Saccharomyces cerevisiae S288C: one gene and its partners. Changing the gene in region 2 together with the main gene of any one other region gives a genetic interaction. Each region holds a gene or a part of one and is shown on either strand. Other genes may lie near its edges. The genes, in order: WHI2, KIN82, PIR5 and DSE1.

What was found.
Region 1: mutations in KIN82 (region 2) and WHI2 together harm fitness more than expected from each alone (negative genetic interaction), as found in Saccharomyces cerevisiae (3 studies listed by BioGRID).
Region 3: mutations in KIN82 (region 2) and PIR5 together harm fitness more than expected from each alone (negative genetic interaction), as found in Saccharomyces cerevisiae (3 studies listed by BioGRID).
Region 4: mutations in KIN82 (region 2) and DSE1 together harm fitness more than expected from each alone (negative genetic interaction), as found in Saccharomyces cerevisiae (3 studies listed by BioGRID).

Annotation. Positions count from the first base shown.
Region 1 is NC_001147.6:408,922-413,030, forward strand, and holds WHI2 (Whi2p), read left to right. Parts: upstream 1-1,948; coding exon 1,949-3,409; downstream 3,410-4,109. Other genes in the region: ubiquitin-binding protein CUE5, read left to right, coding at 1-739; IRC23 (Irc23p), read left to right, coding at 4,086-4,109. UniProt on the Saccharomyces cerevisiae protein: Plays a role in the coordination of growth and proliferation. Required for entry into G0 phase under conditions of carbon limitation.
Region 2 is NC_001135.5:272,395-277,066, forward strand, and holds KIN82 (putative serine/threonine protein kinase KIN82), read left to right. Parts: upstream 1-2,009; coding exon 2,010-4,172; downstream 4,173-4,672. Other genes in the region: YCR090C (uncharacterized protein), read right to left, coding at 1-469; mismatch repair protein MSH3, read right to left, coding at 4,370-4,672. UniProt on the Saccharomyces cerevisiae protein: Flippase activator that phosphorylates DFN1 and DFN2 and which is involved in the generation of phospholipid asymmetry in membranes by the inward translocation of phospholipids.
Region 3 is NC_001142.9:117,262-120,523, reverse strand, and holds PIR5 (beta-1,3-glucan linked protein), read left to right. Parts: upstream 1-1,698; coding exon 1,699-2,562; downstream 2,563-3,262. Other genes in the region: heat shock protein HSP150, read right to left, coding at 1-75; FMP33 (Fmp33p), read right to left, coding at 2,737-3,262.
Region 4 is NC_001137.3:406,761-411,017, reverse strand, and holds DSE1 (Dse1p), read left to right. Parts: upstream 1-1,954; coding exon 1,955-3,676; downstream 3,677-4,257. Other genes in the region: RSP5 (NEDD4 family E3 ubiquitin-protein ligase), read right to left, coding at 1-829. UniProt on the Saccharomyces cerevisiae protein: Involved in cell wall metabolism and required for the separation of the mother and daughter cells.

The DNA of each region.
Region 1 (4,109 bases), on a different chromosome or scaffold from region 2:
AACTCAATTAGAACAAGACGAATTATTGGCACGGCAATTAGATGAGCAATTCAACAGCTCACATTCCCGTCGTCGTAATCGTGATCGCGCAACTAGAAGCATGCATGAACAGCGCAGAAGACGTCATAATCCGAACGAAAGGGAGCAACATCACGAAGACAGTGAGGAAGAAGATTCGTGGTCGCAATTTGTAGAAAAGGACCTGCCAGAGCTTACGGACAGAGCCGGTCGGTCATTACAGGACACAGCAAACAAAGTTAGTAACTGGATAAGTGATGCTTACCGGAGAAACTTTGCGTCAGGTAATGAGCAAAACGACAACCAACATGGTCACCAAGATCAGCAAGAATGGGAGCCAGAGATTGTGGATTTGTCACAAGGCGGGAAAAATTCAAGACCCCAGCAACCTGAGAGAAGAAGATTCAATTCGTTTGGCGTTCAAGTCGGTGATGACTCTTTAGAAAGCCACGGAATCACACTACACAACGAAGATGGATTTGAAGATGATGAAGATGTGCCACCTCAGTTACCAACGAGAACAAAATCTGGTGAGTCGACTGGAAAAGTAGTGGCAGAGACAACCTACATTGATACTCCAGATACAGAAACGAAGAAGAAATGGCAGCCGCTACCACCGGAACCCCTGGATACTACACCAACTAAAGTAAACGCTGTTTCTAGAAATAAGAAAAATCCGGATGAGGATGAATTCTTAATCAATAGTGACGACGAGATGTAAAGCTGATATCTACGTACATGTGTATACGTGCCAATATTTGGACGCATCTTATTTTACGCGCTTGTGAAGAACTCACTACCTTCTTGAAGGAAGTAAGAAAAAATTTTCAGAATTGTTGATAGTCGTATATCTTCCATTATAACTATTGTTAGCTATTAATTCAGATAATGTAGATAAGATTGAAAACATAAATTCATCATAAAAAAGAATAGGTCTTTTACGGCACCCGTTCAGACACTTTGACACTTCAAAGTATATGCATCAGCACACTTCTGACCATTCTACGTATTGTAACAGCAACATGAGTTCTTTAAAACTCCAATTGACATTTTCGTAATGTGTTTTGCATATCATCTAAATTTCAATGACAGATTTAAAAAGTCAAGTAATTAAAAATTTTCATAAGCGTGCTTTTTTATAGTGCGAAGAACGGCAAAGGCAACCTTAAGAAAAAAAAATGATAGGTTACGTGCTATATCCGGAAAATAAAGAAAGATGAGTAAGAGTTAAAGAAAGAATTCAACCAACCTGATGGGTGTATGAAAATCCCGATTTTATATCGACAGCGCTAGCATGCATGAACAGTGTTTTGACGGTCAAGAAAAAACATAACCTCTGCATAATGTACTTACTTATCAAAACGTTGCAAATCTTGTATGTAAGAGGTGTTTGGGTGTTTTTTCCAAACGACCCGAAGGAGGGCAATTCAAAATAAAAAAAGCAAATTTTATCAGGAAGAGAAGATTTTAGTCAGAACGGGCCATGTTCAATGGCCAATTTCTTATGCTCTAGAGTAATAATTACTAAGGAGGAAAGTAAGACAAAAAACGGTCTATCGTTGTTTTAAGTTTACAGCATAGGCATAGTGATAGAGTGTGAGAGAGTCTCTAACTCGGCGTCAGTTTAGAGTCATTTTTTTCTTTTCTCCCCCCAAAGGTCATAAGAAGATAAGGATCCAAATTTAGAAGACAAAAAAAGTTTTGTTAGAACGTTTATCCCATTAAAAATAAGGGAAAAGAGAAACAACGTTATTTAGTGATTTTTTTAATTGAGAAGCATTTTCTCCAGTGATAATTTAATTGTTTTTTTATTCGGAAAAGAACAGAAAGCGCAAGAAGACAACTCCTTCACACTTAGGCTATTAATTTTCCCGCCTCCCCATTAATTGATAAAGATAAAGGTTGTCTGAGCTTACACTTATTATAAACAATGGACGATATAATCACGCAAGTTTCTCCAGATAATGCAGAGTCCGCTCCGATTCTACAAGAACAGCAACAGCAACAGAACTCACAGTACGAAGGTAACGAGGAGGATTATGGTGATTCATTGATTCATTTGAATATTCAAGAAAACCATTATTTCATTACGAGGGACCAGTTGATGTCTCTACCTGAATCCCTATTACTGTGTTTATTTCCCTCAGGTGTTTTTTTGGACCGTTGTGGTCAGGTCATTACTAATTTGACCAGAGACGATGAGGTCTACATTGTTAATTTCCCTCCTGATTGTTTTGAGTACATCATGGAGATATATACAAAAGCGCATGATGATTTGTATAATCATCCTGTGGAGAAATTTTTTGACAGACCATCAAGTAGCTTTGTTTCGAATGCAAAGGGATTTTTTGGACTGAGTAGCAATAATTCAATTTCGAGCAACAATGAGCAGGATATTTTACATCAAAAGCCCGCTATTATTGTTTTGAGAGAAGACTTGGATTATTATTGTGTACCTCAGGAGGAATTTCAGTTTGATTCCACTAATGAAGAAAATAATGAGGATTTATTGCGACATTTTATGGCTCAAGTGAAAATGGCTGCTGGCAGTTATTTAACTTCAAAAACATCGATTTTCCAAGGTTTGTATTCTTCGAATAGACTAAAGCAACAACAGCAACAACAGAAAATTGAAAAGGGGTCCAATTCTTCTTCAAATACTAAATCTACTTCGAAAAAATTGGGACCTGCTGAACAACATTTAATGGATATGTTGTGCTCCTCCGGATTCACCAAGGAAACTTGTTGGGGTAACAGAACTCAAGAAACTGGCAAAACGGTTATAAGTTCACTGTCTCTTTGCCGATTGGCTAACGAGACAACTGAAGGATTTAGGCAAAAATTTAACGAGGCTAAGGCTAAGTGGGAGGCAGAGCACAAACCTTCTCAAGACAACTTCATCACCCCAATGCAATCTAACATATCGATTAACTCTTTATCTGCAAGTAAATCTAACAGTACCATTTCTACAGCAAGGAATTTAACAAGCGGAAGTACAGCACCTGCTACAGCACGTGATAAGAGAAAATCAAGGCTGTCGAAACTAGCAGATAACGTTCGTTCGCACTCTTCCTCGAGACATAGTTCGCAGACCAGAAGTAAACCTCCGGAGTTGCCCAAATTGTATGATCTAGTGCCAAAACCTAATATCAACGCTAAGCTACTATTATTTTGGAGAAAACCTGCTCGTAAATGTTGGTGGGGTGAAGAAGACATAGAGCTAGAAGTGGAAGTCTTCGGCTCTTGGAAAGATGAATCAAAGAAAATCATTGAATTGATCTTGCCAACAAACGTTGATCCTGAAGCAGAACTACATAAAATCATTGTACCCGTCCGATTACATATTCGTAGAGTTTGGACTTTAGAGTTGAGCGTTATTGGGGTGCAGTGAGTGTATATAATATATTAGAGAAAGAAATGGAAAGAGATCGGGCCAAAGACACAATATGTAACAGTATGGTTTCTTGGTATCCCCTCTTTCTATTCCTCCCTTGTTACGAAATGATGTATATTTGTATCTCTATAACAAAATTATATGAACTGTCTCAAAGCACATGAAGAAGGAAAAAAGGTGGCGTCGAAGACTGCTAGATATTTCTCTTCGTATCTTCCCATCCCCTTCTGCAAATAACGGTTTTTCCATTGTCTATTTCAAAGTTACCCGCATAATAAAGTCGTACATTGTTCGAAAAATATCACTCAAAAGCAGCATTGATCCGGTATAAAACAATAGAAATTTTTTTTTTTTTTTATTGTTATAATTATTCTGACTCACGTCTGGATTTCGTTAGTTCGTCATTTTTTCTTAATTTCAGTAAACTGTGATCACGAGTCTGCAACATCATTATACACCGTATATCTGTATTATTAAGAATCAGGGTCTCCTTTTAATTTGCTGTTGAAAAACATCTTAAGGGAGTGTGATTGTCTGTTGATGTATACTAGTCTGGTAAAGCTAAATATTCTTATAAAAAACTTTTGGTAACCCATTATTACAGGAAACAAGATCCATTTATCAGATAAAAATTATAAAACATTAAGGAATCAGGACCTTTTTTTCGACAATCATGATAGAGGCGTTGGAAATAGTT
Region 2 (4,672 bases):
CATTATCCTCTAGTTGGCATGACATTACTTTCCCCGAACTTAGAGAAACTTCAAACGTTATGGTGTCGGGATAAAATTTGATTAATTCACAACCTCTGCAATCAAGGCTTAAAGGAATGAAAGAATCTTCTTTGACCTTCGATAAACCATGCTTCTTCCGCACATCTTTTATCTTGGCCCATTTGTCGTCACTCTGATCAGTTAAATATTCATCCTCAAAAGCGCACAGGTTAACTGACAATTCTTTTGAACAAAATTTACACTTCATCAAGAAAGATGCGGTACCTTTTGATGCCGGCATAGCATATTCTTCAAATGTATTGATGATGACTTTAGAATCGTGTAATTCTCTACAACTGGTACATTGTAGATCGAAGGCAAATTCTGCCCTTGATTCGTTTGTATTCTCAATTGAAACCTTGGTCACGTTTTCTGATAATGTTGCTTTCAGAACCAAAAATAACGGCATTATCGTACACAACCTGGTTTTCTTTATTGGTTAAGTTGTCTTTATTCAAAATTTTTCATTACTTCTTATAAACAGCTTCTTGACGCTTGTAATTTCATAAGTTTTTGATACAAGCAATGGAAACAAAATTAAGAAAATGTAGGCAACGAAGAACTAAATTTGAAAAAAAAAAAAAAAAAAATTTACTGCCAAGATCATCTAAATTATCTTATAGTAGCAAAGCTTGAGCATAAAAGGATCAATCTTTTAGTTTTTTATGGCAAAGTACATTTGCAGTAAGTAATTAGTGATGAGATAAACAAAGAATAATAATCCAATTCGAAATCAAAAATTCAAACAACAAAAAACATAATTTCACATATATATCTAATTCATTCACGAAAAACACGTCAGTTCCTTCTGTCTGTTGTAAATAGGATGCATCCGCAGTGAATCATGGAAATATTTCAAAACTTTCAGCCCAATCATTTTATTTGGTCAATGAAGCCATAAACGCTCCGTAATTCTAAGATTAAAAAAAATTCATAAAAATAAGGACCAATATAAATATATATATTTAATGTGCTAGTGACAATCCTAGTGATAAAATTGCAAATTATACTACAATTGGTCATGGTGAAGCCTAAACACACCATTACGTCTTCACAGTGTTATTCATTTTATTTTCAAAGGTATGCTACTACTAATGCACCAGTGTATACCATGATACGGTGAAAAGGGCATGTAATATTGCGTTAATTTGTCGATAACCTTTCTTTACGTTTAAATTTTTTTTTTATAACTGGCGACACTAAACTTCTCGATAAAATACAACATAAAAAGCAGTACCTAGCTAAGCGAACAACAGATAATAAATAGCTAAACATCTAGGTTAATAGCCAATTAGCAATACATTTAAGGATTGATAGTGTGGTATTTACAAGGTAATAGCCCGCTAGGCTATAAGGAAACTACTCTAAATTCACCTTCCATATATGTGACTGCCAAGAAAATATTACTAGTTATCAAGCTTTTTTTGTGTGCATTCAACTTCAACGAATCCTTCGTCATCAATGAAACAAAAGAACAAGCCAGAACTGAAAAAAAAAAATCAAAACCACTAAGAATGTCACATCCTTCCAAAACTCCTGCTGGCTCTTCAACTCTTCAAAGAATATCAAGATAAATATCATTATCTCCAGTGTGGCCGACCCATGCATGAGTGCGAGGAGCATTAAGTTGGATCCTGGGAAAACATGTCAAGGACATTCAATAAAGTACTTTTCATACTACAACAGACGCTAGAAGAACTAGAATGTAACCGTGAACTGCCTCTCAAACACATAATTATGATAGCGCCGTCTTCGGCATCCTTTTTCGGAAATATACTTTCCTTTTTCCCTCTTTCAGCTATATTGTTCAAGGAGTAACATAAGACATAATAACCCCAGTTTTTTTAGAGAAAGTTCTTCTTCTTTAATTATAGTATGTTTGAAACGTACAAGAATTCATTGAGTGCCCTAAGGATTACTGCAAACAAGGTTCAACAGTGTTGGTACACATGACTCAGCAAGAATACCGTTCCCCCTCACAACGCTTATCCAAGGGGAGGAGCATGTCGCTACCCAAAATATTTGCTCGTAATTTGAGATCTCTGCAAAACAATGCACCTCCTGGCAAAAACATCAATGTCAATTGTTTGAACGTCAATTCTTGTTCGTTGTCCGCAAGCCCAAGCTCACAAATTAATATGGCTTGTAATGGAAACAAGCAAGATCTTCCCATACCGTTTCCCCTGCATGTAGAATGCAACGATAGCTGGTCAAGCTCCAAACTTAACAAGTTCAAATCAATGTTTAATCATAACAGATCAAAGAGCAGTGGTACTACAGATGCGTCAACTTCAGAAAAAGGTACGCATAAGCGTGAACCCCGGTCGACGATACATACAGAGCTGTTACAAAGTTCCATTATCGGTGAGCCAAATGTCCATAGTACTACAAGTAGCACACTTATACCCAATGAGGCGATATGCTCCACACCTAATGAGATCTCAGGTAGCTCTTCTCCGGACGCGGAGTTATTTACCTTTGACATGCCCACAGACCCGTCATCCTTCCACACTCCTAGCTCCCCAAGTTATATAGCAAAGGACAGTAGAAACCTGAGTAATGGATCTTTGAATGATATTAACGAAAATGAAGAGCTCCAAAATTTCCATAGAAAAATCAGCGAAAATGGCAGTGCCTCCCCCCTGGCTAACTTGTCATTATCCAATTCACCAATTGATTCCCCAAGGAAAAATAGCGAAACCAGAAAGGATCAAATACCTATGAACATAACACCACGTTTAAGGAGGGCCGCTTCCGAACCGTTCAATACGGCAAAGGATGGGTTAATGCGGGAAGATTACATTGCCTTGAAACAACCTCCAAGCTTGGGAGATATTGTAGAACCGAGGAGATCTCGTCGTTTAAGAACCAAGTCATTCGGTAACAAGTTCCAAGACATTACTGTCGAACCTCAATCCTTCGAAAAAATTAGACTACTTGGCCAAGGTGACGTAGGTAAAGTGTATTTAGTGAGGGAACGCGATACCAACCAGATATTCGCCCTGAAAGTTTTGAATAAACATGAGATGATCAAGAGGAAGAAAATTAAACGAGTACTCACTGAACAGGAAATTCTCGCGACAAGTGATCATCCATTTATTGTGACACTGTATCATTCCTTTCAAACCAAAGACTATTTGTATCTCTGTATGGAATACTGCATGGGAGGGGAATTCTTTAGAGCCTTACAAACAAGAAAAAGTAAATGCATTGCAGAAGAAGATGCGAAGTTTTACGCCAGTGAAGTAGTAGCAGCTTTGGAATATTTACACCTACTGGGCTTCATATACAGAGATTTGAAACCCGAAAACATATTACTGCATCAATCTGGTCATGTCATGCTTTCTGACTTTGATTTATCCATCCAAGCAACGGGATCAAAAAAACCCACCATGAAAGACTCTACGTATTTAGATACAAAAATTTGTTCAGATGGATTCAGAACTAATTCCTTTGTTGGTACTGAAGAGTATTTAGCTCCAGAAGTAATCAGAGGGAATGGCCACACTGCAGCAGTAGACTGGTGGACTTTAGGAATATTGATTTACGAGATGCTATTTGGCTGTACTCCATTTAAAGGAGATAATTCAAATGAAACATTCTCTAACATTTTAACCAAGGACGTCAAATTTCCACATGATAAGGAAGTTTCGAAGAATTGTAAAGACCTGATAAAGAAACTACTAAACAAAAACGAGGCAAAAAGGCTTGGTTCCAAATCAGGAGCTGCAGACATAAAGAGACATCCCTTCTTCAAAAAAGTTCAGTGGTCGTTCTTAAGAAACCAAGACCCCCCTCTAATACCTGCATTAAATGATAACGGCTGCGAACTTCCTTTTATATTGTCTTGCAATAAACACCCGAAAAGGAACTCAGTGAGTGAACAGGAAACCAAAATGTTCTGTGAGAAAGTTGCAAACGATGATGAAATTGATGAGGCTGATCCATTCCATGATTTTAATTCTATGAGTTTAACGAAGAAAGATCACAATATCTTAACCTACTCTGAAAATTATACCTACGGAAAAATTCTATACAAAGCAACTTGTACAAGGCCAAGGCATAACAGCTCACATAGAAGTTTCTTTAAAGACATCATACCTGAACTATAACATGTTTACAGAAAGATAAACCCATGGCCAAATTTCTGTATTGTTTCTCTCAATTTATCTTATGATAAAAATGTAAAAAATTATTTAAAAGTAAACAAATAAACAAAGGAACAATTCAAAAACGAGAAAGTGAATGAAAAATATAATATCATTTATTGTCTGATAATGCTGCATTTAGAACATACGTACCATCCGCATCAGTGGATATCCAATGATAGTAATTTCGCGAGTTTATCCGTTGCTGTTATATTATCACTTTTTAATATTCTTTTCAAAGAGCTGAATAATTTCAACGCGTCTTCGTTAATGGATTCCTTCCGCAATTCTTCTGAAATACTGAATGCCCGATTTATAATATCTTTGTCCAGGCGTGCCAATTTCGCCACATTCATCCCATAACTATTATAAGTCAATCCCTTTTTTAACTTATATAGAAAAATTACACTCATCCAGTCCTCGCCAGTTTTTTGTTCTTCCACGTAATCCATATGATAATTCCT
Region 3 (3,262 bases), on a different chromosome or scaffold from region 2:
AGGCTCAGATGGAGCATAGGCGGCCAATGTAGTAGCGGCCAAAGCAGAGGCAACCAAAGTCTTTTTGTATTGCATTATATTATTATTATTGTACTAGGGTTAGAAAAGGAATATGAGTTTCTTATTGATATTTTTTTGAGCTTTGAGGTAAAAGGAAGGACATAATCGAAATTGATTGTCGTTAGACTTCAAGTGTTCCTTTTATATCTCGAGGATTCCTACCATTCAAGCTAATAAATTTTTCACCAACCATTCCTTTTTTAGGATCTTTCTTATTTTGACCAAAATCTAAATTTAGCTCAAAATGTGGTGTTCCGCTTGAGAAAACACTCATTTGTACTATTAGTTTTCCTGATCTGGTAAAGAAATGAAAAATTAGGCTGAGTTGGCGACTTATCACTACAGACGGAAAGCCATTAATGAGCTTTTTTGTCTTTAATAATTTCCGAAATAGGAAATAGTAAGATCACTTAATATGAATAACTCCCAAGAATTACCATTTACGGCCCCTTCCAATAGAGGTGGGAAATGTGTATGTGCATTGTGAGGGTCGCCTAATTGGGCAGAAGGGGGGAGAAATGAGCGTGGCAAAGCAGTGAGATTGACTCGTTTTGCGGCCAGCAACGTGTTGGACATGGCGGACCTGCCTGCATTAATTATAGCACAAAGCCTATCATTCATCGCATCCTTGTGCAAGTTCTAAGTTCACCTCCATATGGATTAGCGGCCAGGATAATGGAAAAAATTTACCATACTTTTTTTTGCAGAATAGATCAACAGTTTGGTGCATTTGTTCCTTCTTGTTTTTTTTTTGCTTGTTTTTACAATTTTTACTGTTTTACTATGAACTGATGGCTGGTATAGTGACAGAGTTTCTACTTTTTTGCTACTTAGTAGACTACTATACTAACTAGGACATATGTTGTTCGTAACGGTAAATGCACTTAAAGTATTTTACTGTTTTTAATTGGATTTGCTTGTTGTAGTAATTTTTGGACTGATTTCGGTCAATCGCTATTTTAATTTTTACTGTTCCTTGCATCTTTTACTAATCCGAAATTAGCTCAGCTCAAATTTGTAGTTTACTAAAGTACGCTTTTCCTAAAAGACGAAAACACAAATATAGTGAAGACATTATCCGACTTTTTTGCCAAAAAGGGACAAAGCACGAAATTAAGTAAAACTGTGGTAAAAACTACAGAGGAACGTCGCATTGGCTAGCAAGGATCTATTGTTACTCTATCAAAACCCCTTTGCCAAGCTCACATATCCTATTTGCCGTTCCTGAAGGCATCCAACTAGGCTTGATATCATCTTACTTATATAGTGGGCTTCTGCTCCTTAACCTGATCAATTTCACCTCTAATTTTGTAGGATTCCTGAGAAAATACAGAAATTCTAACGTTCCTCTGATATATTACGAGTGAATCATTGGGTATATATAAGAGAAGTGGAGTAACAAAAGCTGTAGAAAGTAAGTTACACAGAGTCACAAAAGAATATCGACTTTTTGTGCAAGAAAATTCGACTGTTTTGACTCACAAAATTATTCTTTTTGCGAAAGAGTGGGGAAACGAAAACAGTTAAAAGAGTAAAATAACTTGTATACATATACTTATCTTCTTGTTTCGAAATTTCTGTTTAGTCTCGATTTTTTAATTCTATACAACTTACTGAAGAAGTGAACACCGCCCCAATATGCATTACAAGAAAGCATTTCTAGCATCTCTATTAAGTAGTATTGCGCTAACTGCGTACGCTCCACCTGAACCCTGGGCAACTTTAACTCCAAGCTCTAAAATGGATGGTGGCACAACAGAGTACCGGACCTCATTCGGTCTCGCTGTTATACCTTTCACCGTTACTGAAAGTAAGGTCAAAAGAAACGTCATTTCACAAATTAATGACGGTCAAGTGCAAGTAACGACACAAAAATTACCTCATCCAGTTTCGCAAATTGGAGACGGCCAAATACAAGTTACAACGCAGAAGGTGCCTCCAGTAGTGTCACATATTGTGTCACAAATAGGCGATGGTCAATTACAAATAACTACAGCTAAAAATGTTGTCACAAAGTCCACAATTGCTGTTCCAAGTAAAACTGTAACTGCGACAGCAACTTCAACCGCAACTGCTGTTTCTCAGATTCATGATGGTCAAGTGCAAGTTACTATTTCTTCAGCCAGTAGTAGTTCTGTGCTTTCCAAGAGTAAGTTAGAGCCAACAAAGAAACCAAATAATGAAAAAGTGATCAAGGTGCAAGCCTGTAAAAGTTCTGGCACCTTGGCAATAACGTTACAAGGAGGTGTTCTTATTGACTCCAGTGGTAGAATTGGATCGATAGTAGCAAACAGACAGTTCCAATTTGATGGTCCACCTCCACAGGCGGGCGCTATTTACGCTGGCGGCTGGTCGATAACGAAGCATGGCACTTTAGCTATTGGTGATAATGACGTGTTTTACCAATGTCTGTCGGGCACTTTCTATAACCTTTACGATCAGTCTATCGGGGGCCAGTGCAATCCCGTTCATTTACAAACAGTTGGTCTCGTCGATTGTTGAATCACCAACATTATAATCTTGCAGGTCTTGATTGTACTTCAAAAATATAACTAAAATAATAGTATAAAAGTAAGTCTGTCTTACTATGTATGGGGCGCGTTATAATTTTACGTATTCACAAACGAGTTTTCATTTACTTCATCGTTTTTATTTTCGGAGATGTTGCCTTCTGCATTACTCAAAGCGCACTCCAGCTTTTTCCAGCTGTTTCATCCTAAGTTTAAGTGCCATATAAATCAACGGTGGGAACCCTAAAACACTAACGACACTTCCCTTATAAAGAATGGATTTTTTGCCTAAGGTGGAATTGCCTATTAGGCTCGAAAGTTGAATGAGAAACCCCCAAACAATCGAAAATTGAGAGACATCACTGTACGTCAAAGAATGAAGTACTTTATGGAGGTCACTCTTTTGTAAGTCAAGCTCTTTCTCTTGATAGGTATCAAGTGCTGGCTTGAATATTCTATTGGGAGCGTCATGGACTATATTTACAATGTCGTCTTCTGCGATGGCATGGGGATCTTCTTGCTCTTTGGACTTATTCAAGCTATTTGATTCTAGATATAGGCATGCCAGACCTGTCCCATACAGTGTTGTCACTAAAAGACTAGTGTACAAATTACCCTTCGAAAATAAAGGTTTTGAGCCAAGATTGGGCGATGTGCCTGAAAACTTGGTGAATTGTGAGTTGTGACGTAAC
Region 4 (4,257 bases), on a different chromosome or scaffold from region 2:
TATTTGCATTTAATTGGTTGCCACGTTCGGCTTCTGTTTGATCGAGCGTTGGACGTTTCCAAGTGGTAGTCCTTGTGTTATGATCGACGTAATATGTACGACCAAAGTTATCGGTCCTTCTCTCCCAACCAGGGGGTAAACGACCATACTGGTCTTCAAACGAAGAGTATTGTCTGGTAGCACTGGATGTGGAATTGGTGGAACGGTGACTGGTTGTTGCCGTATTAGTAGCAGCTGTTGTACCGCTTTGAAGAGTTGATTCTACTGCTTGCGCGGTGCCTCTGGAAGGATGAGACGTTGAATGATTACGGGTGGAGGAAGTAGAATGACCATTTGTTCGAGTAGTTGAACTTGTATTCGTACTAGAAGATGCAGTATGGCCAGAAGGAGCTTGTGAATGCGGACTTGACGAAGGTAGTTTTGATAAAACAACAATCAACCTACCGCTGACGGCCATTCCGTCATTAGATTTTTTTAAATCACGAGTAATAGTTTCTTCGCGAGGTCTACCACTCGATGTAGCAGTATCTTCATCCAAATGGCCCAAAACATCACCCACGCGGACGTTAACCACGCCAAGAAACCCTTGATCCTTCTTTTTAAATTTCTTTTGATCAAAGACTTGGATGGTTAAAATAGAATTTTCATTGATATCGTCGAATTTGAAAGTCTCATTCCAGTAGGGATTTAACGTTTTCTTCGCTGCGGATGTAGATTTGGTTTGGTAACCATCAATAGTCAGAACAGCAAACGGATCCGGGGAACGGAATACGTCCCTCTTATATAATGACTCTGCAGCCACTAACTTGACGGATATGGATGAAGGCATTTTTTTTCTTTTTTCTTTCCTTTCTGTTACTTTAAATATAATACCCAAGCTAACAAAGAAAAGGGAATAAGAAAAGGGGAAAATAGTTTTTGGTAAATTTATCGAACTAAAAACGCACTAAGAAAAAGCTGTGGCTTATGAAAGTGAAAGTCGAATAACACTATATTCGGTAGTTCCAACTAAAAGGTACTTACACACAAAAACAAGCAATTATTTCCTGCTGTTTTATTTGCTACGCACTCACTCTTCTAAAGAAGGACTGAACTGAAATTTTGACTCACTTGCAAAATGTGCTTCACGAATTATAGTAACAAGTCCAAAACTGTGGAAAAAACTGACAGCGCTTATTATCTTATAATCGTTTTTGTTTAACGAAAAAGTCGACTCTTGTAGCTCTAACGAAGAAAATGGAAAACAGCCTCAAAACACAACAAAGTCCTTTTATCAATTAGCAGATGCGATACTCGAGTACCCTAAAAATGGTTAAGCGTATGTCTTTTAATTGTCGAGATAGAAGCCCCCTCCCCCGCCAGCAAAAAATATTACCTTTCACCATGAAGATCACTGCAATTTGGTCTTTACCAAAAATTTCCACTAAATTTTTGTTTTTTCCCCTTTCTCGTATAATGTCATTATGTACGTAAGATCACATGATCGTATACTGTCACGTGACTGTGCGGCTGGTCTGCGCCAGCAATTTTTTTTTTCTGCTCTCAAATGTAAACAAACCAGCAGTCTGTTTTCTAAACAAATAAACATTAAAAGGTAAACAATACCAAATAATAATAGCAGCGTCAAAGCTACATTCTCAGTTCTCAAAGCTATTGTGTTGATTTCTATGTATGATTCAATGCCGGCATGATGTTAAATTTGCTGGTTTACTGAATAAGGCTTGGTTCATAACCAATTTGTAGTCATGACGACATAGCTGGGTGGGTGCTTACTGGTTTACATAAATAAGTGCGTAAACGTTTTACAATATATAAAAAGGTAGAAATATCTCTCCCAAGCTTTCCTCAAACTATCTTTTGGCTTCTTCTTCTTGCATGACTTCCAAATTTTAATCTGTGTTTGCTAAAAAATTTGATTGTAGGTGTGATAGTGAGAGTGACACGTATTAATATTATGCAAGATACCAAATACTACGAACCAACAAATATTTTTCGTCAGCCTGCTATTAATATAAAGAAGAGATCAGATAAAAAGAGGATTTTACAATCGATGATGACTTTATCCACATACAAAAAAACGTGGCAAAACAATACTTCGAAAATGAATTCACCGATTTTGCGAAAAGCATCAGACAACTTCAATGACTATTATACAACTAAAAAATTAAAATCAGATTATTGGAAACTGTACGGTGTTGATGAAAGTGAGTTATCCATACCTTCAGACATGTCCATTGTGGATAATATACTTCTAGTATCTACAATGAACGAGAAAGACAACTTGAAACTTTTTGAAATTTCCGCTGAGAAAAAGCTGAAGGAACTACAGACGATTACTGTTCCCGGTAAACCCATTACTTGTATCTGCTTATTGCCCATGGTAGATTTTCCGCCACAGATTTTCCCCAGCTCTCAAATAAATCCTAACCACAACCAATTAATATTGACAGGTCATCAAGACGGTATAGTCAATCTGATAGCAACTTCAACATATAAGGGATGTGCTAAAATAATAAAAAGGTTTAACCACAACAAGTTTCTAAAATCTACCGTATCAACGTCGATTCCGATTCTGGAAATAACGCCAAAAACAGCACCTATTTTGAAGGTTTCGCCATGGAACAAGACCGGTTTTGTTTCCCTTCTAAATGACTCCCTCTTTATATATGACTTGAAATCAAATCTTGATTGCATAAAAACACCTATTTTTTTGCAATCATATCCAGGTATAAATTCTTTTGCCGTTAATGAATTCCATGATCCCTTCTTACTGGCCTTAGTTGGCTCAAAATTTGGACCAAATGGCATCTCGCTGCTTGATTTGAGAACAAATCTCTATATTCCAGATATTTTAGATAATAGCATATCTGCAGGATGTGGAAAAGACCATTTGCAAAGAAAGAACACAAGTTTGGATTGCGTATGGATAAGTAATCATCACGTTGCACAGAGCTTGAACGATAAAATTCAAATTTGGGACATTCAATCCTGCGACGGTAAACCAGTTTGTGAATTATATGCTAAGAAAGGATACATTGAAAGTCTAAAATTTAACGAAAACACAGGCGCGTTATATAGCAGTGATGACCAAGGCTTTGTCATTTGTTGGGATTTACAAAACCTACAAAACATGAAATATGGTGAGTTAGTCCATGGATTTAACTCAATTAGCCTAGATAGTGAAAGTGAACTACTATTAACCAAGCAAGTCTTCCAATGTGGAAACATTATTGTGAGTGGTATGAGTGATAAAAATATTTGCTTGAAGAGCAATGACACTAAGGCCAATGGAAAAGGATGTGGATTTTTATTCCTTGATATGGCAAACGATGGAAGTTTAGTAACTCTTGACAATTTTTGTGAACTGGGATTACATCAAATTTGTCAAGTTCAATTCAATGTCGATACCGGTAAAATAATCGATGGTAATGGTACTGGGAAGAGTGGAATATCTGATTCTTCTATGTTATCATTATCCAATGAGAGTGACCATAGTATGACAGAAACATCTGATGATATGTTCTCAAATTCTGGTAATTGGGATTGTTCTTCAGCAAATACTGTTAGCGAAGGTAGATTGAATGATGACCAAGAGGATATCGTCTTCACAAAGAGGATGTATTCTGTAAATGATGTGCATTTAAGTGGATCTACTATTGATACTACTGTTGTCTAGTTTCCTTGAGTGCTTTCAAATAAAAACAAATAACATATCAATGAATCAAAGTAACATTTCTTTGAAGATAATTTCTTTGTCTGTCACTCAGAATGCCCTTTATTACTAACGACCATCCTCCTTGATGAAGGTGAAAATCAATAAAATTCAAATTGTGACCCAAGTCCAGTCAGTGGATCCTTCTGGTAACACAAGTATTCGGTTTTTTTTTTTTCTCCATGATCTGTATGTTTTACTAAGCTTTGAATTTTTCTTACACAATGTATATATATATATATGTGTGTGTATATCAAAACAGCGCGCGTAATTGTATGTAGCATTTAGAATCAAGTTCAATGCCGAAATTTGTTATGGTTGCCTACGTTTTTTTGGCTTCTTAATTTAATATCAAAATCTTCACGATATGCATTCATTCTCAAGTTTGTAATTGTGCATTTTTTTATATATAGTCCCGCTCTCAAGTGAATTAGAAAAGTAAAGTATACACGCAAAACAAGGGCGTAAATAAAAGAAAACGAAAAAGCAACTAAATAAAAGCTTACATCCAAGTATCAAAGAAGTCGCTCACGGTTTCTCCAATT